3 linked regions of the Anolis sagrei genome follow. The protein of the gene in region 2 interacts with the protein of the main gene of each other region in a biochemical or structural test. Links are inferred from orthologs where the notes say so. Each region holds a gene or a part of one and is shown on either strand. Other genes may lie near its edges.

Region 1 (7,973 bases), on a different chromosome or scaffold from region 2:
TAGCTGCAACCTTAGCAATATAGCACCCTTGCGTCTCTATATTTGGAAAAAGACAGGATAAAAATAAATAAACTAAATCAGTATAAAAAATAATAATAAATTTGATGATGTAGATGCACCCTTACCAATACAGCACCTAAGTCCCTATACCACAGGCATGGGCAAACTTCAGCCCTCTGGGTGTTCTGGACTTCAACTCCCACAATTCCTAACAGCCTATCAGTAGGCTATTAGGAATTGTGGAAGTCCAAAACACACAGAGAGCTGAAGTTTGCCCATGTCTGCTATATCTGGAGAAAGGCAGGATAAAAAATAAATTAAATTAAATACATTATTATTATTAATTTGACCATGTGGCCCAGGCATGGACAAACTTCGGTCCTCCAGGTGTTTTGAACTTCAACTCCGGCTGATAGGAATTGTGGGAGTTGAAGTCCAAAACAGCTAGAGGATCGAAGTTTGCCCACGCCTAGTGTAGATACACCCCTAGCAATACAGCAGCCAAGTCCCTATAGCACAGTGTTTGTCAACCTGGAAATCAGGACCCCTGGGGGGAGGGTCGCAAGTGGGTATCAGAGGTGTTGCCAAAGACTATCAGAAAACACAGTATTTTCTGTTAGTCATAGGGGTTCTATGTGGGAAGTTTGGCCCAATGCTATTATTGGTGGTATTCAGAATGCTCTTTGATTGTAGGTGAACTATAAATATCAGCAACTACAACCCCCAAATGTCAAGGTTTATTTTCCCTAAACTCCGCCAGTGCTCACATTTGGGCATATTGAGTATTCATGTCAAATTTGGTCCAGGTCCATCATTGTCTGAGTACAGAGTGCTCTCTGAATGTAGGTGAACTACAATTCCAAAACCCAAGTTCAATGCCCACCAAACCTTTCCATTATTTTCTGTTGGTCATGGGAGTTCTGTGTGCCAAGACTGGTTCAATTCCATTGTTGGTGGAGTTCAGAATGCTCTTTGATTGTAGGTAAGCTATAAATCCCTGCAACTACAACTCTAAAACGACAAAATCATGCGCCCCCAACCCCACCATATTCAAATTTGGGCATATCAGGTATTTGCGCCAAATTTGGTCCAGGGGATGAAAACACATCCAGCGTATTGTGATATTTGCATGAAAATTCATAACAGTAGCAAAATTACAGTTATGAAGTAGCAACGAAAATAATTTTATGGTTGGGAGTCACCACAAAATGAGGAACTGTTTTAAGGGGTCATGGCATTAGGAAGGTTGAGAACCACTGCTATAGCAGAAGAAAGGTGGTGGGACAAAATAATAATAATAATTGAAAAAGGAGATAGAGGGCCTGATTCTGGCAGCCCAAGGACAAGCTATTAGAACAAATGCCATCAAAGCCAGAATTGAAAAGTCGACAACAGATCCCAAATGTAGAATCTGCAAGGAAGCAGATGAAACAATAGATCACATCCTCAGCTGCTAAAAGAAGATCGTGCAGACAGACTACAAGCAGAGGCATAACAGATGATTCACTGAAACCTGTGCCACAAATACCATCTAACTGCAACAAAGAACTGGTGGGATCACAAGCCGGAAAAAGTTACAGAAAATGAACACGTCAAACTCCTCTGCGCCTTTTGTATTCAGACAGAGTTTTGGAACACAATACTCCCCTTTTTTCTTTTCTTTTTTGGCGCATGAACTGCTATTATAGATCAGAACCACAAAAACGTGGATACCAAAACAGATGTACCAGCTATGGAAACTTGAATATCCAGATTCAAGCTACTCTCGGACTTCCGGATTCAGACAGAGTTTTGGAGCACAATACTCCTGACCTCACGATCGTGTTAAAAAACAAAGTATGGACTGTCGATGTTGCAATCCAGGCAACAGCAGGACTGAAGAGAAACAACTGGAAAAGCTGACACGATATGAGGATTTAAAGATCGAACTGCAAAGACTCTGGCACAAGCCATTCAAGGTGGTCCCAGTGGTGATTGGCACACTGGGTGCAGTGCCTAAAGACCCTGGCCTGCACTTAAACACGATCGGCGCTGACAAAAATTACCAGCTGCCAGCTGCAAAAGGCCACCTTACTAGAATCTGCACACATTATTCGTCGATATATCACACAGTCCTAGACACCTGGGAAGTGTCCGACGTGTGATCAAATATAATAGGCAGCAGAGTGATCTTGTTTGTTGTGGACTCATCTTGGTGTGTTTCAATAATACCATAAATAACTAACAAAAATAGCAATAATTATTTTGAAGTAAATCAAATGGTTCTCTAGATGATGCAGAATAGATGCCCCCTTAGAGAGACAGCATCCAGGGGGAAAGGAATTGGCTGCCAAAAAAAAAAAAAAAGCATGAGAGAGACATGAGCTGCTCTGAGGAAGGAAGGAAGGAAGGAAGGGAAGGGAGGAAAGAAAGCCAGTTAGTTGGCAACCTTCCTCCAAAAAAGGAAAGGCAAGAATACCTCAGCGAACGAACCGAAGAGGAAGCCGGGGCCTAGCCCTTCTGAGAGGGAGGCCACTCCTGAGGGAAGTGAGGACACCGTCCGAGGCCTCCGGGGCCGAGAGCGAGGAGGACTTGGGGCGGAGGTCGCCTGCCTCAGCCCTCCGCCTTCCTTCCTTCCTTCCCTCAGGGCTCCTCGCCCGCCTGCATTCCTGGGCAGCCCCCTTCGCTCCGGGGCTGCTGCTGCTGCTGCTGCTTCTTCTCCCGCCTTGGCTTCTTCACTCCCTTCTTCCCCTCAAGACGCCCTCGCTCTCTCGCTGGCTCCTTTATCCCTTCCTTCTTCCCTCAGCGCCTGAGGCGAGGCACCTTCGCCCTCTTCCTCTCAATTCCTCTCTCTCTCTCAAGCCCGGGCCTTTCCCCGCCGCCCTTTCCCCTCAGAGCGGCCCCACCCCGGAGAGTTCCCCGGGCCCACTCAGCCGGCCGCTCGTTCGCTCGCTCTCACCTGCTCCCCGCAGCCGCCTGCCTGCCTGCCTCCCTTCAGCGCCTCCTCAGCCGCCAAGCCGCCCGCGGCCGCCCCCTTCCCCGACGCCCTGGCAACAGAGCCCGCCTCCTTCGCCTCGCTCGCCTTCCCCGCTCCCCGGTTGGCTAACTCGGAAGCAGTTCCTCGTCGCCATTGGGCAGCGGGGTACGCCTGTCAAAAATTTGACCCCGCCTCTTTTTTCAGGGCGTTTTGATTTACTCCCGAGCTCCCTCCTCGCCCGCCCGCCCTCACCTCCTCTCGTATTGGTTCAAACTCAAGACGCGATGGCTGGGATAGGTCGAAAGAGGAGACATCATGGTATATGTCCCCGCCTCCTGGTACAGGTTGGACTATAAGTACCCCGCACGGTTTGGTTGCACGGTAGAGAAGGCAGAAGTTCAGAAAACTGGGGAGTTTGTCAGGGCATTTCCACATAGTCATAAAGTCACCCAGACTATCAAGGCAGAAAACTTCACAATATCTGCTCTGAATTGTAATATATGGCAGTGTGGACTCAGGGCCTTTCCACACAGCATATCTCCTTTGAACTGGAATATATGGCAGTGTGGACTTGGGGCCTTTCCACACAGCCATATAACGCAAAATACCAAGGCAGAAAATCCCACAATATCTGCTTTGAACTGGGTTATATAGCAGTTTGGACTCAGGGCCTTTCCACACAGCCATATAACCCAGACTGTCAAGACATAAAAATCCCACAATATCTGCTTTGAATTGGAATATATGGCAGTGTGGACTCAGGCCCTTTCCACACACCTATATAACCCAGAATATCTGCTTTGAACTGGGTTATCAGAGTCCACACAGCCATATATTCCAATTCAAAGCAGGTCATGTGGGATTTTATTCACATGTGTGGAAGGGGCCTCAGAGTTCCATCTATATATTGTCAAGCTCAAGCAGTTCCTGACACCACTTTGACTGCCCTGGCTCAAGGCACCAGTACTCTCTGGCAGAGGAAGTTATCAAGATCTTGCAAACTACAACTCCCATTATTCCATAGCATTGAGCCATAGCAGTTAAAATTGTGTCAAATTGCCTTAATTCTAGAGTGTAGATGTACTTCCTGTGCTGATGGGAAAAAAACGCATTTGTCTTCAAGTGCCTCAGCTTGATGTTTTATCGTCTTACGTTGTTCTCACAATACTGCATGCTAAACAATGTACGATTGCATATATGTTACATTCAAACTAAGACTTTTGGGATCTTCTGAGAATCATGGAACTTGGAAGTTGTCTCTAGAAGTGCCACAGTCCCCCTTGAAGTGGAAAACCACGTCTCTGAAGCCTTTTGATCAACCAGCTGAAATTTCTTTCTTGGCAGCTAAAATTAATTCTCATTTTTTCTGCTGCCATTTCCTTTAAAGGGATTTGACCCTATCCATCTACTTTTCACTATCCTAACAAAAGGGAAATGGGCAATTTGAAAATTTAATTGCTGTAGTGAATTATTAAAAGCCCTAGTGATTGATGAAAGCTGTGTCAGAACGTATGATTTGTGAGATGAACTGGGCCATTAGCATGAGATCTGCTGCCTTTTTGCTATTTAGGTCCACTACGACTCAGATAATAATCAGCTGCTCTGCAAAACACAGCAAATGGGATTCAGTTGCCTTCAGGGACAGCACTAGGAAGAGCGGAGGAGCACAAAATTGATATCTATGTGTGAATCTACACTGTAGGATTAATGCAGTTTAACACCACTTGAACTTCCCTGGCTCAATGCTGTGGAATCCTGGGAGCTGTAGTTTGGGAAGGCTTACTTTACTTACTTACTCAGGCAACCCCTCGTTGTCTGAGTAGGATAGTCTTCCAAGATCAGTGTACTGGCAGTGGGTCCACAGGTGGCTATGAGCCCTATTCTTGATCTGCATCTTCTCCTTCAGTGAGGGCACTGGTTTCCAGGTGGAAGGCGGTCCCAGTCGGGGTTGGCTTGACGCATCTTCCTCTTGGCAAGTTTCTCTCTTTCGCCCTCCATTCGTACCTCTTCAAATTCTATAGCACTGCTGGTCACAGTTGACCTCCAGCTGGTGTGCTCAAGGGCCAGGGCTTCCCAGTTCGAAGTGTCTATGCCAGAGTTTTTAAGGTTGGCTTTGAGCCCATATTTAAATCTCTTTTCCTGCCCATCAACATTCCGTTTTCCGTTCTTGAGTTCGGAGTAGAGCAACTGCTTTGGGAGACGGTGGTCAGGCATCCGGATAACATGGCCGGTCCAGCGGATTTGATGGCAGAGGACCATCGCTTCAGTGCTGGTGGTCTTTGCTTCTTCCAGCACGCTGACATTTGTCCGCTTGTCTTCTCAAGAGATTTGCAGGATTTTCCAGAGGCAGCGCTGATGGAATCATTCCAGTTGCATGTGACGTCTGTAGCCAGTCCACATCTCGCAAGCGTATAGCAGGGTTGGGAGGACAATAGCTTTATAAACAAGCACCTTGGTATCCTTATGGATGTCCCAGTCCTCAAACACTCTCTGCTTCATTTGGGATGGCATCAGTGCTCCTTAGCAGAGAAGGCTAAAGGCCTTGTCAAATTGCAGCTCCCGTGATCCCATAGCACTGAGCCAGGGCGGTTAGGGTGGTGTCAAACTGTAATAATTCTAAAGTGTAACTGCACCCTTCATTATGGTAATAGAAGACCAAGTGCATAATTGAAAACTGACTGATGAGATCTGAGCAATGTTAATGTTTGAGCTGCTCTTTCTAAGCATCTGTCAGTGGTTCTCAACCTCTGAGTCCCCAGGTGTTTTGGCCTACAACTTCCAGAAATCCCAGCCAGTTTACCAGCTGTTAGGATTTCTGGGAGACGAAAGCCAAAACATCTGGGGACCCACAGGTTGAGAACCACTGATCTAAGTGTCTTCTGCTCTAGTTTTCTTTCAATGTTTCCCACAAGGTTTACACCTGACTGCTGGGGATACTTCAGATTTTTTAAAAAGACAGCCCAATCTGGAATTAGATCTGCTTCTGATGTTATAACAGGCCCTACAATATGAAAGTAGCAGTACAATCCAGTTATTGAAAGCCTCTTCCTGGAGTATTTCATACACAGAACGAGTCCTGAAGTAGGCAGTGCTCCAAATGTTTCTGCAATGTAACATTTGGCTTAGAACTATTTATGTGCTGATTGTTGTAACAAAAAGACACAGGACTGTATGACTGGCATGTAGGCATTTGATTTCTGCAGCCACCAAGAGAAAAAATGTGACTGTGACATGTATAAATGCGTAAAACACGTGTATTGACAAATGCTGATAAGTATCTGATGAAGAAAAGAAATGAAGAAAGAGCTGCTGTCATGGTGAACAAAGGAAATTTGTAAGCAAACACAAGAAAGAGAAAGCATATCACCGTGTAAGTATGTACATGTCTACTCAGGATACATTTACACTGTTAAATTAATTCAGTTTAACACCACTTTAATTGTTATGGTTCAATGCCATGGAATCATGCAATTTGCAGTTTTGTGGAGTACCAGCATTTATGGCAGAGAAAAATTACAGCTCCTGTGAATCCATGGCATTAAGCCTTGGTAGTTAAAGTGGTGTCAAACTGCATGAATTCAACAGTGGTACTCAGAGGTAAGCTTAATTGATTCAACAGGACTTGTTCCCACGTATACAGAACTGCAATCATGAGAAATCAAGAGGGTATATTTTTATCCTTGGCTGTTTTGATTTAATAGCAGAAGTGAAAAGAATATCTGCATTTTAGCACTTAATGCTTTAAGTATGGTATTATCTTAATTTGCTAAAACAGAAGATAAATGGACAGTGTCAAGTACGATTAGTTTTCACTTTTCCATGTGGCATTACGCCCTTTTCCAATTATGTTCATACATGTTTATGTTCTCCCACACTTGCATCCCAAAGCCCTTTTTGGATAGCATCCCTAAACCTGTTCACTCTCAAACAGGCTGTTACTTTAAGATAAAATTGATGGTACTAGAATAATTTTTAAATGGTTATACTTTAAATTTTCCCCCTCCACCCTTCGTATTTAAGCCTATTTCTTAGTTGGTATTCTTTAGCTGAATCAAGGGATTAATTATCCTAATTGCAGAATGCTGAGTGGGATCTTGTTTTTGCTGACAGGAAAATTCAGATAAGGCATTGAGCTTTAAACCTGCATGCCAACAAAAAAGACATTAACATGTGTCATGGTGTGACCTCAGCGGTGATATATTACAGTAGCTGTAGTATGAATTGAGATTATTATCACAAGTTATAGAACTTCAGCAGAAATTAGGTGAATCTGATATATTAATAATAGGTGAAATTATTTTCAGTTTTTAAAATGCCTTCTCAATATATACAGTATAGTAACTTTTAATTTTTAAAAGTATTTTTCCTGTACATATCTGCTTTTAATGAGGAAGAGGAGGCATGGGATAATACAGAATGATTGACGGAAGAAAAAAGGAAAATACTTCAACTTGTACATTGATAATTCTTCAAAAAGTTCAATTTGGAAGATCTTCATCTTTTTTAAAAAAAAACCCTCAGAGTAGAAACAAAATTCCAACACTAGCAAAGTTTGAGACTAGGCGATTTAGTCCTAGCTTCTAATTACGTAGGTTTGTTCATTACTGTGTGTTAGGAGTTCAGCACTGGGAGGAACAATAGAGTAGTACTCAGTGACTGAAACTAGGAATTGGATACCTGAAAGGCTGTTTGTCTCGGTTTAGGCCTGTCGGCATATTAAAATCTGATTTAGCTTTCTCATGATGCCCCCACCATCCTAGATGCAGTTAATAGCTACAACTAAAAAAACCCTATTCAGTTGTGGCATTACAGCTGTGGAATGCTCTCTTCTGGGAAAATTATTTGGCTTGTATTTCAATATGATTTTGACCCCAAAGCCTTTCAAATTTCCCAGGCTTTTTCATTTAATTCATATTGCTTTCATGATACTTGTGTTGATTTTTGTGGACCACTATAAATATTCCTGTTCTATTGTGTCAAATACTACAGTGATGTTTTGTTTGAATTTGCTACCATT
Region 2 (7,122 bases):
GTTCAAAGCAGATACTATGGGATTTTCAGCCTTAATATTCTGGATTATATGGCTGTGTGGAAGGGCCCTGAGTTAGGCCTGTAATTGTTCCTCCATGAAAACAGCACCAAATTCTTATTTACACAAATATAAAGAACCCCAGGAGGTACACATAGAATAATGAGGATTGCATAAATACACAGCACCTACACAAGTCATTATGACTACATTTCCTGTTTTTATCTAAAAGACTAATTAACATGAAAGGCAGCAATCCTGCCTTGGCATCTTCTTATCCCAGTCCAAACACTGGTGCTTTCCTAGTCAAGAAGGATTTTTACACATTTGAATTGAAGTGGGGCTTCTGTGCCACCAGAACTTATATATTAACATTCAGACCATCATGTTCCAAAAAGAACTGGAGAAATAAGCTATTCAAGAGTTACAAAAAACAAACCTAAGTTTCACCTTTGACTTTTTCTGTTCTCTATGTAACACACCTAGCTTGTTCTGAGGCTTGTGAAGGTAAGTATTTACAAAGAGAGAGAGACATTCACGGGACAAAAGTGGCTTAAAAAAGAGTGTAACACAGAGCAAGAAAAATATATGTATCTCTTAGGAAACAGGCAATGTACACAAACTTTGTTTCATGTACAAAGCTATTAAAATATTGTTTATAAAATTGACTTCAGGTTATAGGAAACATGAATGAATGTCACATTTAGACTTAGGTCCCATCTCCAAGCTATCTCTTTATGTGTATGTAAATATTCCAAATTTGGAAGCACTTTGGTTCCAAGCATTACAGATAAAAGACCTTCAACCTATCTTACAGTGTATTTACACTGTAGAATGTATAGTTTGACACTACCTTAACTGCAGCAGCTCAATGCTATAGTGTACTTTGGTAAGATACCAGTGGTCTTTGGAAGAATAGGCTAAAGGCCCTATAAAACTACAACTCTCATTCCACAGCTCATAAGTATGGGGCTCAGTATTTTCGCCACTGGACATGAAGGGTTATGGTAAGTAGTAAAGTAAGTAAGTATGGTGGTTAAAGTGATATCAAACTGCATTAATTCTACAATGTAGATGAGAAAGTGCATGGACGGGTCAACTCCTGGGGCAATCCAGAAACACATTTGCTGCAGTATAACAACTTTGGTAAGGGTGCATCTCTACATCATAGGATTACTGCAGTTTGACATTACTTTAACTGCCAGGGATCAATGCTATGGAAACCCAGGAGTTGTAGTTTTACAGGATTTTTGCACTGCTACAGTAGTTAAAGTGGTGTTAAACCATACCCAGTCTACAGTGTAGAACTGTAGATGTACCCACAGTACAGTACACTTCGAAAGCAACATCTAGGGGTGAATGTACTGTGGAATTAGTACAGTTTGACACCACTTTTAACTGTCACGGGAGGTATAATTTTGTGAGTGGCTAGAAAAGGCTAAAGATCTTATGAAATGACCAATCCCATTATTTCATAGCATTGAGCATTAATAGTATAAGCCCCCTTCCTTACAGCTGAATAAAATCCCACATTATCTGCTTTGAACTGGAATATATGGCACTGTGGGAGGGCCCTAAGTCTGCAGCGTATATGTATCCCTAGAGCGGTGGTTCTTAACCTGTGGGCCGCAGACCACCAGTGGGCTGTGAGGACGAAAATCCGATCCGCGAACCTTTCCTCTTTATTTATTTAATTTTTGCTCCTTTTGCACCGCCTGCCACTCCTTCCCTGTTGTTCACCATGGCACATGTTCTGTATCAGAAACTAGAGCTGATGTGGTCTGTTCAATGCAATTTTCTGAATCACCACCCCAAACCGAATCTAAAGTTGACCATAAACTGACTTGTAACTCCTTTGGTACTAATGTCGGAGAGTGGCCCCGGTCAAAGCGATCCCTGGTCAAAAAAAGATTGATAACTATGTCAGGAGCGACTTGAAAAACTGCAAGTCACTTCTGGTGTGAGAGAATTGGCTGTCTGCAAGGACGTTGCCCAGGGGGCGCCCAGATGTTTTGATGTTTTACCATCCTTGTGGGAGGCTTCTGTCATGTCCCTGTATGGGGAGCTGGAGCTGACAGAGGGAGCTCATCCACGCTCTCCCCAGATTTGAACCTGCGACCTGTTGGCCTTCAGTCCTCAGGGTTTAACCCACTGTGCCATCGGGAGCTCAGTACTGCCCTAGAGAGATGAGAATACTATGGGGTCCTGGGAAGGGTAGTTTTGCAAAGTTTTGAGCCTTCTCTGCCAGAGAGGGGCTGCTGTCTCACCAAAAAACTACAACTCCCAGGGTCCTTTCCCGCAGGCATGGGCTAACTTGGGCCCTCCAGATGTTATGGACTTCAACTCCCACAATTCGAAGGCTGTTAGGAATTATGGGAGTTGAAGTCCACAACACCTGGAGGGTCCTGGGGCAGGCATGGGCTAACTTGGGCCCTCAAGGTGCAGTGGACTTCAACTCCCACAATTCCTAGACAGGAATTGTGAGAGTTGAAGTCCACACCTGGCGGGCCCTTCCACACAGCCCTATATCCCAGAATATCAAGGCAGACAATCCACCATATCTGTTTTGAACTGGGTTATTTGAGTCCACACTGCCATATATTCCAGTTCAAAGCAGATAATGTGGGATTTTATTCAGCCCAAGTTTGCCCATGCCTGCTATATACCAAGACTGTACAACTGCTACAGGGCTCACGATGCAAAACTACAGACTCCGTGGCAGTTGAGAGAGGTGGTTGTAAGATAAGGGCCTGGAAGAGGCAGGCCGCGTCAAAGGGGAAGGGAGGGAAACACAAAAGCGGGGGGGGGGGAGGAACCGGGGGGCGGGAGGAAGCCTTTCCCTCAGCCAAGGGCCCCTCCAGAGGGTTTCCTTTTCCGCCCTCCCGCCTTCCCCACAGTCACCTGCGTCAAGGAGAAATGCGTGGCCATGCTGCTTCCATCCTGTAGCTCTCCCCTTCGCGGAAAAGCGGAGCAAGGCCCGGCCCTCCGTCCCTCACTCTCTGCCCAACTTCAGCAACTTCCCGAGACGCCCCGGACAGGCCCCGCCTCCCTGCCTTCCTTCCTTCCCTCCCTCCCGGCAGCCTCTCCGGAGCAGAGCCGGCCTCCCAAAGCTCCCCAGGCTCAGGGGGAGCAGTGTTGTGCGGCTCCTCTCTGCTGCGGCCTAGCGAGAAACTCTCCCACCAGGCCTCAAGCTCGCTTCCTAAGGCGTCCTCGCCACTTTCTTCAACTATGAGGAATGGAACCTGAATGGATTTCGTACACAGTGTCCCTCTTGGAGCCAGAAAATAGTAACTCTATCTAAGACAATGGTTCTCAACCTGTGGGTCCTCAGGTGTTTTGGCCTACAACTCCCGGAAATTCTGGGCACCACAACTGAAGAGAGATACTGACAAGCTAGAATGTGTCCAGAGTAGGGCCACTCAAATGATCAAGGGTCTGGAGAACAAGCCCTATGAGGAGCGGCTTAAAGAGCTGGGATTGTTTAGCTTGCAAAAGAGAAGGCTGAGAGGAGACGTGATGAGGGCCATGTATAAATATGTGAGAGGAAGTCATAGGGAGGAGGGAGCAGGCTTGTTTTCTGCTGCCCTGGAGACTAGGACGTGGAACAATGGCTTCAAACTACAAGAAAGGAGATTCCATCTGAACGTTAGGAAGAACTTCCTGACTGTTAGAGCTGTTCAGCAGTGGAACTCTCTGCCCCGGAGTGTGGTACAGGCTCCTTCTTTACCAGCTGTTAGAATTTCTGGGAGTTGAAAGCCAAAACATCTGGGGACCCACAGGTTGAGAACCACTGACCTAAGACCTCATTACACTAGAGCAGGCCTAGGCAAACTTGGGCCCTGCAGGTGTTTTGGACTTCAACTTCCACAATTCCCAAAACAAATCCGGCCCAGCTTACCTGTTTGAACGTATCTCTCCTTATGAACCATCTAGGAACTTAAGATCATCAGCTCTTATTCCCACCTTCGCAGGCGCATCTGGAGGAGAGGAGAGACAGGGCCTTCTCAGTGGTGGCCCCTCTGCTGTGGAATTCCCTCCTTAAAGATATTAGATTGGCCCCCTCTACCTCCTGACTTTCTGTAAAAAAAAACTGGCTCTGAACAAGCTTTTGGAAATACAGCATAATAGATAAACATGGAACTATGAAAGAGTAAACATGGAACGGCTTAGACGATGCTACTGGAAAAATGAGTCTTAACAGGAAGACACAGGCAATTATATGTTTTAAAGGGTTTTTTGTATGGATTTGTATAATGTTGTGCTTTATGTTTTTTAATTGTATTTTATGACTGTTGTGGCATCAAATTGCTGCAAATTTGTAAGCCGCCCTGAGTCGTCTTCGGGCTGAGAAAGTCAGGATTGAAATACTGTAAATAAATAAATAAATTCCTAACAGCCTCAGGCCCCTTCCTTTTCCCCCTCAGCTACTTAAGTTGATATAAATAGTATCAATCCCACTTACAATCCAAATGCTAAAATCAAAGCAAACAGATCAAAAGAACAAATCACAATACATAGAGAAAATAATCCTAATAAAATATATTACTTATAGCTCATAACTCCAGTCAGTATATTTTCTTGCTATATATATACACACACACATATATATCTCTCTCACACACTTTGGATATCTCTCATGGGGATTCGGTGGCTTACAAAATGAAGGCAGTCATTTGATGCCTCAAAAATAATAAGCAATAAATTGAATAATAAATATATAATATAAGCGTTCTATCATAAAACAAATCATAATAAAAACAAATAAACCACTTTCCACAACAACAATCGCATGTGTTAAAAGCCATATCCATAGAACAGTCCTTATCAGTCAAAATTTTGCTTATGGTAGAAACAAGGATTGGTGAGAAAACTCCAGTGGGGACACCTTTTCTCCATGATGATAACTTTCAGGAGTAAATTTCCCTTGCAAGGGGTAAATTTCTCTTACTTCCTGTTGTCTCATCCCTGTTCTTAACTAGCCCTCTCTAGCTAACGCTATGCTCTCACCACTAATCTCTATGAGGGGCTTTCCCCCTCCATTGTCACCCCTCAAAATCAAATTGCCCCCCTGTGGGACATGTACCCCATTGTTGGGAACTAGGGGGCTGCTCTAAATTATATGTCCTTTAATGGGAGAGAATGGCCTTTCATGAGTTTTGGTATGTTGTAAAACCAGTTTCTGCTTAATACGCCCTCCGGACAGTACTGACATCCCTCACATTAGATTTGAAATATATAACTATGGAGTTTGTTTCTAAAAGGTACTAAATCCATATGAAAAGTTAAAGGGATTTTTTAAATGTCAGAAATGACTTGAGAAACTGCAAGTTGCTTCTGGTGTGAGAGAATTGGCCGTCTGCAGGGATGTTGCCCAGGGGACGCCAGGATGTTTTAGCATCCAGTGGGAGGCTTCTCTCATGTGCCCACATGGGAAGTTGGAGCTGACGGACAGGAGCTCACCCCATCTCATGGATTCAAACCACTGACCTTCAGGTCAGCAGTTCAGCCGGCACAAGCGTTTAATCCATTACGCCACCATAGTCGCAGATAATAAAAATCCCTATACCAAAGTGATTTGATATATCTTGCTAGTTTTGATCTGTACTCCTAGCCAACAATGTGCTGCTACCCATAATTCCTTTTAATTTTTCTTTTTTTCTTTTTTCTTTTTGGATTTGGTACCTTTTGGAAAGAAACACTACAATTATGTTCATGATATAAGATACATGAAATAAGAAGCAGTCGTGGTTCCTAATTCTGAGATGTCACAACATGTGTTTATATAATGCAATATTCATGATAATAAGCACCAAGAAATTTTATTTTTAAAGCAAAATTAAAGCTGAGATTTTCTTTTCAGACAGTCAGATCCTGGACTAATGACATTCTTCCACTTGTATGTATCTATTCACATTGTTCAAATTGCTCCAAGTGACCTATTTATCAAGGACAGGTTTTATTTTCTGGTATCTGTCCTTGTTTGATAAAAACCATCCTTTTTTGCCGTTGGGAAGATATTTTTCATTAACTTTTAAAGTTAATGCACAAATTTGTCCCCCGCCATTCATAAATAATTGAATGCCTCCTGCAATTATTTGAGTTGCAGTTATTTTCTTCCAAAAAAAAAAAAAACCTGACCCAATATACCAGTAGTATTATTTACCATTCTGCTAAATACTCCTTAGCTGCCATGACTCACTGTTATAGAATCATGGCAGATGTAGTTTGGTTAAGCACAAACACTATTTGGCAGGGAAGACTAAAGAAACTACAACTCCCAGGAGTCCATAGTACTGTGCTATTGCTATTAAAGCAGTGTCGTGTGGCATTACTTCTATAGAATCACCTTACTGGCTAGAGTGTTTAGCTGTGTATAGCTGTGGAGGTAACAGGAGGGGTTTCAGGAAAATACCATAAGTAAAGGTATTACATGTCCTCAAACTATCCCTATTTTTATCTGAGAAATGCTGGAGAGTCAGATCTATTTAGACTAGGGGTGTATGTGCAAATATTTCACGTTTATTGAACAAATCACACTAAGATGAAAGAATTGCTTTGTGAGAGCAGTTAGCATATTTAACTCAAGGTTGCTCTCAGAAGTTGCTACACACATAAATTAATTCAACAAATGTGTAAGTCCGAAGTATAATTGCGGCTTGTACACTCCACAAAAAAGGGCTCTGCCAAAAACAGAGCACTGAAATGTTGCCGCAAAAGAGTAAATATGTCAATTGCTTTGGTTTGCTTGATTAAAACAGTTTTATCGCTGTTCAGCACAAATTTATATTCAAACTAGCTGCCTTCTCAGACTCTGCTATGTTTATAGTCAAGCTGTAGTAGGCCAAATTAGTCATAGTTGATTGAAATGGGTCGTCAGTTCCCTACATATACTTTAAATTTAAATTAGATAGGATAAGTGCACACACACAGGAACAGCAGAATTCACTATCTTATTGAGTGTATTCTACCTTCAGAGTCAATAATCATTTGCAGCAATACATAAGAAAGACCTTGTTGTCCTCATATGCAGTTTTGAGAGTCAAAGGCAATGTGAGATGGAAAATAGGACTGGAGGTTTCACATGTTGGTTTTAAGCAGTTTTAGACTGTCTTCTGAATTTTGATT
Region 3 (7,595 bases), on a different chromosome or scaffold from region 2:
CAAGGGCAAGAATAACATGTAATAATAATAATAATAATAATAATAATAATAATAATAATACACTTGGGAAGTGTCGTGTGATCCAATACAACCGCCAACATAGTGATCTTGTTTGCTGTGTACTAATCTTGTTGTGTTTCAAATAATAATAATAATAATAATAATAATAATAATAATATTAAAAAAAACAGTCAAGGTGGTCCCAGCGGTGATCGGAACACTGGGTGCAGTGCCTAAAGACCTTGGTCAGCACTTGAAAACAATCGGTGCTGACAAAATTACCATCTGCCAGCTGCAAAAGGCCATCTTACTTGGATCTGCACGCATTATTCGCCGATACATCACACAGTCCCACACACTTGGGAAGTGTCTGACGTGTGATCCAATACAACAGCCAGCAGAGTGATCTTGTTTGCTGTGTCCTAATCTGGTTGTGTATCTAATAATAATAATCGTTCCCAAGACTTCACATGGCCACAATGTATATATACATACACACAAACACATAAATGCACACACACACACACACACACACACACACACACACACACTGTATAATAGTAATATACATAATAAATAATAACACTACTATATAATATAATAACGGCAATAATTATCATTATATTGCTACTAATAATAAATATAATAGTAATAATAGTGTTCCCAAAAATTCACATGGCCATAATTACACACTCACACACACACACACATCTATCTGTATCTAACTAAATAATAAAGTCAGTGTTCCTATGTATGCGGCGGTGCGGGTATGTGGCAGCTTTGTGATTGGCTGCCATTTCCATAGGCTACTGCGACCCCCCACGATTGACGGACCTGGACCAAACTTGGCACATGGTTTAGGGGAAGACAGACCATGGATGATGGGATCTGCAGTACTTCCAAAAACGTAAGCTTTCAAAGACCACTGCGACCCCCACCAATGACAGATCAAGACCAAAGTTGGCCCACTTTACAACCTGGTGTAGTTAGAGGGAGGATGGACCATGGATAATGGGATTTACAGTCTCTTCACCCAATTCACTTCCCACAGAACACTGTGGTCCCCAAAAATCAGAGACCTGGACTAAACTTGCCACTCAGACCCACCATGACCCACTTTAAATCCTGGTGAGGTTTGGGGGACATAGGTCAATGGATGATAGGAGATGCAGTACCTTCACTCACTTCCTGAAACCACTACAAGTCCCAATAATGATGAATCAGGGCTAAACTTGGAACACAGAGCCCCCGTGACCCACTCTACATCATGGTGCAGTTTGGAGGAGGATGGACTATGGATGATGGAACTTGCAGTAACTTCACTCACTTCCTGAGACCACTGCAACCTTCACCAATGCCTGATCAAGATGAAGCCTCGCACACTGAGCCCTCATGACTCACTCTACATCCTGGTGCTATCGGGAGGAGGATAGACCATGGACAATGGGACATGAAGTACCTTCACTCATTCCTGAGAGCACTTTGACCCAAACCAATGACTGACTCAGACCAAACTTGGCACAGAGAATCCCCATGATCCACTCAATATCCTGGTGTGGTTTGGAAGAGTTTGGACCATGGATGATGGGACTTGCAGTATCTTCACTCACTTCTTGAGATGACTGCGACCCACACCAATGACTGATCAAGCTCAAACTTGACATACAGAGCCCCCATAACCCACTCTACATCCTGGTGTGGTCTGTGGGATGACGGACCATGGATGATGGGACTTGCAGTACCTTGACACACTTCCTGAGACTACTGTGATCCACACCAATGACTGATCAAGACCAAACTTGACATACAGAGCCCCCATAACCCACTCTACATCCTGGTGTGGTCTGTGGGATGATGGACCATGGATGATGGGACTTGCAGTACCTTGACACACTTCCTGCGACCACTGTGATCCACACCAATGACTGATCAAGCTCAAACTTGGCATACAGAGCCCCCATAACCCACTCTACATCCTGGTGTGGTCTGTGGGATGACGGCCCATGGATGATGGGACTTGCAGTACCTTGACACACTTCCTGAGACAACTGTGATCCACACCAATGACCGATCAAGACCAAACTTGACATACAGAGCCCCCATGACCAACTCAACATCTTGGTGTGGTTTGGACAATGGGACTTGCAGTACCTCGACACACTTCCTGATACTAATAAATAATATAATCAATAAAATAACAATAGTATCATAAAAATAATAATAACAATAAAAAGAATAATAAAGATAATATGAAATGGGACTGTTGTGTATTAATGCTCCCTCCCCACTAGACCATATAAGCTATTTGTATACTAATAAATAATAAACAGAATGTTGTTTTGACGATAGATAGACGATAGACAATGCAGGGAGCGTATGAGTATGCAAAAAAACGTGCACGCCACAATTGTTATGCAAATATATGCAAATAAGGTGCACACTTCCTGTCCTTACTATATATATATATATACACACATGCAAAAAAGGTACAATTAGACCAATCTATGTAACTAAGATGCACACTTCATGCCATTGCAATACACACACACATATATTAGCATGCAAAAAAAAATTGACAACCACCATATCAGATGCACACTTCATGTCATTACAATATATATATATATATATTGTAATGACATGAAGTGTGCATCTGTTATGGTGGTTGTCAACACACACACACACACACACACCAAAAATGTACAATTAGACAAATCTATGCAAATAAGATGGACATTTCATGCCCTTGCAACACACACACACATATGGATGCATAAAATATTGCAAAACACTATGATAATGTACATCTATGCAAATTAGATGCACATACTATTATATATATGTGTGTGTGTGTGTGCATGCACCTTGGCAAACCCCCTCCCTTTCAAGGCTAATGAAGCCCCCTCCCTCTCTCCCTCCCCGCAGTGGTGGGGGTGTGTCCCGGCCCCCGACCTGTCGCGCGCCGATCCCGCACCTGCGCCGCGTCCTCTGCACACAAAACCAGGCGGGGAGCGGGCACAGCCAGCCCCCCCCACCCCTGCGGAGCACAAGCGCTCCTGATTGGCCTGCCCCGCTGGGCTTATTTGCATGCTTAAAGGAGAAGCGGCCCTATTTCCATCCCGCTATTGGCGTGCGCTTCTGCGCAGGCGCGTACAGGCCTGCCTTACATTGTCTTGTGTTTACATTTATATGCCGCCCTTCTCACCCCGAAGGGGACTCAGAGCGGCTTACAAGATATATTATACATACAATATATTATATTATTAGCATAGTACAATATCAGTATGATATATTACTATATCATACCATACCATTATATTGTAATATTATTAGTAATATAAAATATATAATTATAATATTACATTATTATTAGTATTATATTGTATTACATTATATTATAAATATTATATGTATATACATTACATTACATTATAAACATCTATCTTCTATCTATCTAGCTTTCTATCTATCTTCTATCTATCTTCTATCTATCTATCTTCTATCTATCTATCTAGCTAGCTAGTATCTATCTATCTTCTATCTATCTATCTAGCTATCTATCTTCTATCTATCTAGCTATCTATCTTCTATCTATCTATCTATCTTCTATCTATCTTCTATCTATCTATCTTCTATCTATCTAGCTATCTATCTTCTATCTATCTATCTATCTATCTATCTATCTATCTATCTTCTATCTATCTTCTATCTATCTAGCTATCTATCTTCTATCTATCTAGCTATCTACTATCTATCTATCTATCTATCTTCTATCTATCTTCTATCTATCTAGCTATCTATCTTCTATCTATCTATCTTCTATCTATCTATCTTCTATCTATCTATCTATCTATCTATCTATCTTCTATCTATCTAGCTATCTATCTTCTATCTATCTATCTTCTATCTATCTATCTATCTATCTTCTATCTATCTTCTATCTATCTATCTATCTATCTATCTTCTATCTATCTAGCTATCTATCTTCTATCTATCTTCTATCTATCTAGCTATCTATCTTCTATCTATCTATCTTCTTTCTTTCTATCTATCTATCTATCTTCTATCTATCTAGCTATCTATCTTCTATCTATCTTCTATCTATCTAGCTATCTATCTTCTATCTATCTAGCTATCTATCTATCTTCTATCTATCTATCTATCTATCATCTATCTAGCTATCTATCTTCTATCTATCTATCTATCTATCTATCTATCATAGAATCAAAGAGTTGGAAGAGACCTCATGGGCCATCCAGTCCAACCTCCTGCCAAGAAGCAGGAATATTGCATTCAAAGCAACCCTGACAGATGGCCATCCAGCCTCTGCTTAAAAGCTTCCAAAGAAGGAGCCTCCACCACACTCCGGGGCAGAGAGTTCCACTGCTGAACGGCTCTCACAGTCAGGAAGTTCTTCCTAATGTTCAGATAGAATCTCCTCTCTTGTAGTTTGAAGCCATTGTTCCGCATCCTAGTCTGCAAGGAAGCAGAAAATAAGCTTGCTCCCTTCTCCCTGTGGCTTCCTCTCACATATTTATACATGGCTATCATATCTCCTCTCAGCCTTCTCTTCTTCAGGCTAAACATGCCCAGCTCCTTAAGCTGCTCCTCATAGGGCTTATTCTCCAGACCCTTGATCATTTTAGTCGCCCTCCACTGGACACATTCCAGCTTGTCAATATCTCTCTTGAATTGTGGTGCCCAGAATTGGACACAATATTCCAGGTGTGGTCTAACCAAAGCAGAATAGAGGGGTAGCATTACTTCCTTAGATCTAGACACGATGCTCCTATTGATGCAGGCCAAAATCCCATTGGCTTTTTTTGCCGCCACATCACATTGTTGGCTCATGTTTAACTTGTTGTCCACGAGGACTCCAAGATCTTTTTCACACGTACTGCTCTCGAGCCAGGCATTGTCCCCCATTCTGTATCTTTGCATTTCGTTTTTTCTGCCAAAGTGGAGTATCTTGCATTTGTCACTGTTATTGTAATATTATTAGTAATATAAAATATATAATTATAATATTACATTATTATTATTAGTATTATATTGTATTACATTATATTATAAATATTCTATGTATATACATTACATTAAGGTAAAGGTAAAGGTAGTCCCCTGACATTAAGTCCAGTCGTGTCCGACTCTGGGGTGTGGTGCTCATCTCCATTTCTAAGCCGAAGAGCCAGCGTTGTCCGTAGACACCTCCAAGGTCATGTGGCCGGCATGACTGCATGGAGTGCCCTTACCTTCCCGCCGGAGCGGTACCTATTGATCTACTCACATTTGCATGTTTTTGAACTGCTAGGTTGGCAGAAGCTAGGGCTGACAGCGGACGCTCATGCCGCTCCCCGGAGTTGAACCTGCGACCTTTCGATCAACAAGCTCAGCAGCTCAGTGCTTTAACCCACTGCGCCACCGGGGGCCCCACATACATTACATTACATTATATTATAAACATCTATCTTCTATCTATCTAGCTATCTATCTATCTATCTTCTATCTATCTTCTATCTATCTATCTATCTATCTTCTATCTATCTATCTTCTATCTATCTTTTATTTATCTATCTATCTTCTATCTATCTATCTTCTATCTAGCTAGCTAGCTATCTTCTATCTTCTATCTATCTATCTATCTTCTAGCTAGCTAGCTAGCTATCTTCTATCTAATCTATCTTCTATCTATCTATCTATTTTCTATCTATCTTCTATCTAGCTAGCTAGCTAGCTATCTTCTATCTAATCTATCTTCTATCTATCTTCTAATCTATCTTCTATCTAATCTATCTTCTATCTATCTTCTATCTATCTATCTTCTATCTATCTATCTATTTTCTATCTATCTATCTTCTATCTATCTATCTATCTATCTATCTATCTATCTATCTTCTATCTAGCTATCTATCTATCTTCTATCTATCTTCTATCTAATCTATCTTCTATCTATCTAGCTATCTATCTTCTATCTAGCTATCTTCTATCTATCTATCTATCTATCTTCTATCTAGCTATCTATCTATCTTCTATCTATCTTCTATCTAATCTATCTTCTATCTAATCTATCTTCTATCTATCTAGCTATCTACTATCTAGCTATCTTCTATCTATCTATCTATCTTCTATCTAGCTATCTATCTATCTTCTATCTATCTTCTATCTAATCTATCTTCTATCTATCTAGCTATCTATCTTCTATCTAGCTATCTTCTATCTATCTATCTTCTATCTAGCTATCTATCTATCTTCTATCTATCTTCTATCTAATCTATCTTCTATCTATCTAGCCATCTATCTATCTTCTATCTAGCTATCTTCTATCTTCTATCTATCTTCTATCTGTCTGTCTATCTATCTATCTATCTATCTATCTATCTTCTATCTAATCTATCTTCTATCTATCTTCTATTTATCTATCTATCTTCTATCTATCTATCGATCTATCTTCTATCTAGCTATCTTCTATCTTCTATCTATCTATCTATCTATCTATCTATCTATCTATCTATCTATCTATCTATCTTCTGTCTAGCTATCTTCTATCTTCTATCTATCTATCTATCTATCTTCTATCTATCTATCTATCTATCTATCTATCTTCTATCTATCTTCTATCTATCTATCTATCTATCTCTCTATCTATATTCTATCTATCAGTCTTCTATCTATCTATATAAATGCTCTGTGCATAATGAGTTCCCTAAAAACAAAAGAACCAATAAACAAAATCACACCAAATTTGGCAACAAAACGTCTCACAACACAAGGAGTGACCATCACGCAAAACATTATGATTTTGTCATTTGGGAATTGTCGTTGCTGGGATTTATAGTTCACCTACAATCAAAGGGGATTCTGGACTCCACCAATGATGGAATTGAACACAGGGCTCCCATGACCAACAGAAAAAACTGGAAGGGTTTGGTGGACATTGACCTTGAGTTTGGGAATTATAGTTCACCCACATCCAGAGAGCACTGTGGACTCAAACCATGATGGATCTGGACCAAACTTGGCACGAATATTCCATATGCCCAAATATGAACACAGATGGAGTTTAAGGGAAATAGACCTTGACATTTTGGGAGTTGTAGTTGCTGGGATTTATAGTTCACCTACAATGAAAGAGCATTCTGAACTCCACCAAAGATGGAATTCAACCAAACATGGCATACAGGACTTCCATGACCAACAGAACACACTGGGAGGGTTTGGTGGGCATTGACCTTGAGTTTGGGAGTTGTAGTTCACCTACATCCAGAGAGCACTGTGGACTCAAACAATGATGGATCTTATTTATTTATTTATTTATTTATTTAAAAGGGTCTGGACCAAACTTGACACAAATATTCCATATGCCTAAATATGAACACAGATGGAGTTTGGAGGAAATAGACCTTGACATTTGGGATTTGTAGTTACTGGGATTTATAGTTTACTACAATTAAAGAGCATTCTGAAACCCACAAATGACAGAAATGGGGCAAACTTCCCACACAGAACCCCCATGACCAACAGAAAATACTTAAGGCCATCCAGTCCAACTCTCTTCACCAGGGCAAGAAAATGTAATCAGAGCCCTCCTGACAAAG

Evidence for each region. The genes of interacting proteins can lie anywhere in the genome.
Region 1: the proteins of EPS15 (region 2) and NUMB form a complex in vitro, tested with the Homo sapiens proteins (2 studies listed by BioGRID and IntAct, with this or other methods). The link is inferred for Anolis sagrei from reciprocal best matches to the Homo sapiens genes EPS15 and NUMB.
Region 3: the proteins of EPS15 (region 2) and FCHO1 form a complex in vitro, tested with the Homo sapiens proteins (2 studies listed by BioGRID). The link is inferred for Anolis sagrei from reciprocal best matches to the Homo sapiens genes EPS15 and FCHO1.

What each region holds. Positions count from the first base shown.
Region 1 is NC_090021.1:286,265,643-286,273,615, forward strand, and holds the start of NUMB (protein numb homolog), read right to left. Parts: upstream 3,023-7,973; 5' UTR 2,939-3,022; intron 2,933-2,938; exon of another isoform or gene 2,459-2,932; intron 1-2,458. UniProt on the Homo sapiens protein: Regulates clathrin-mediated receptor endocytosis. Plays a role in the process of neurogenesis.
Region 2 is NC_090024.1:174,235,338-174,242,459, reverse strand, and holds the start of EPS15 (epidermal growth factor receptor substrate 15), read right to left. Parts: upstream 3,051-7,122; 5' UTR 2,926-3,050; coding exon 2,899-2,925; intron 1-2,898. UniProt on the Homo sapiens protein: Involved in cell growth regulation. May be involved in the regulation of mitogenic signals and control of cell proliferation. Involved in the internalization of ligand-inducible receptors of the receptor tyrosine kinase (RTK) type, in particular EGFR.
Region 3 is NC_090034.1:62,482,896-62,490,490, forward strand, and holds the start of FCHO1 (F-BAR domain only protein 1), read right to left. Parts: upstream 3,023-7,595; 5' UTR 2,953-3,022; intron 1-2,952. UniProt on the Homo sapiens protein: Functions in an early step of clathrin-mediated endocytosis. Has both a membrane binding/bending activity and the ability to recruit proteins essential to the formation of functional clathrin-coated pits.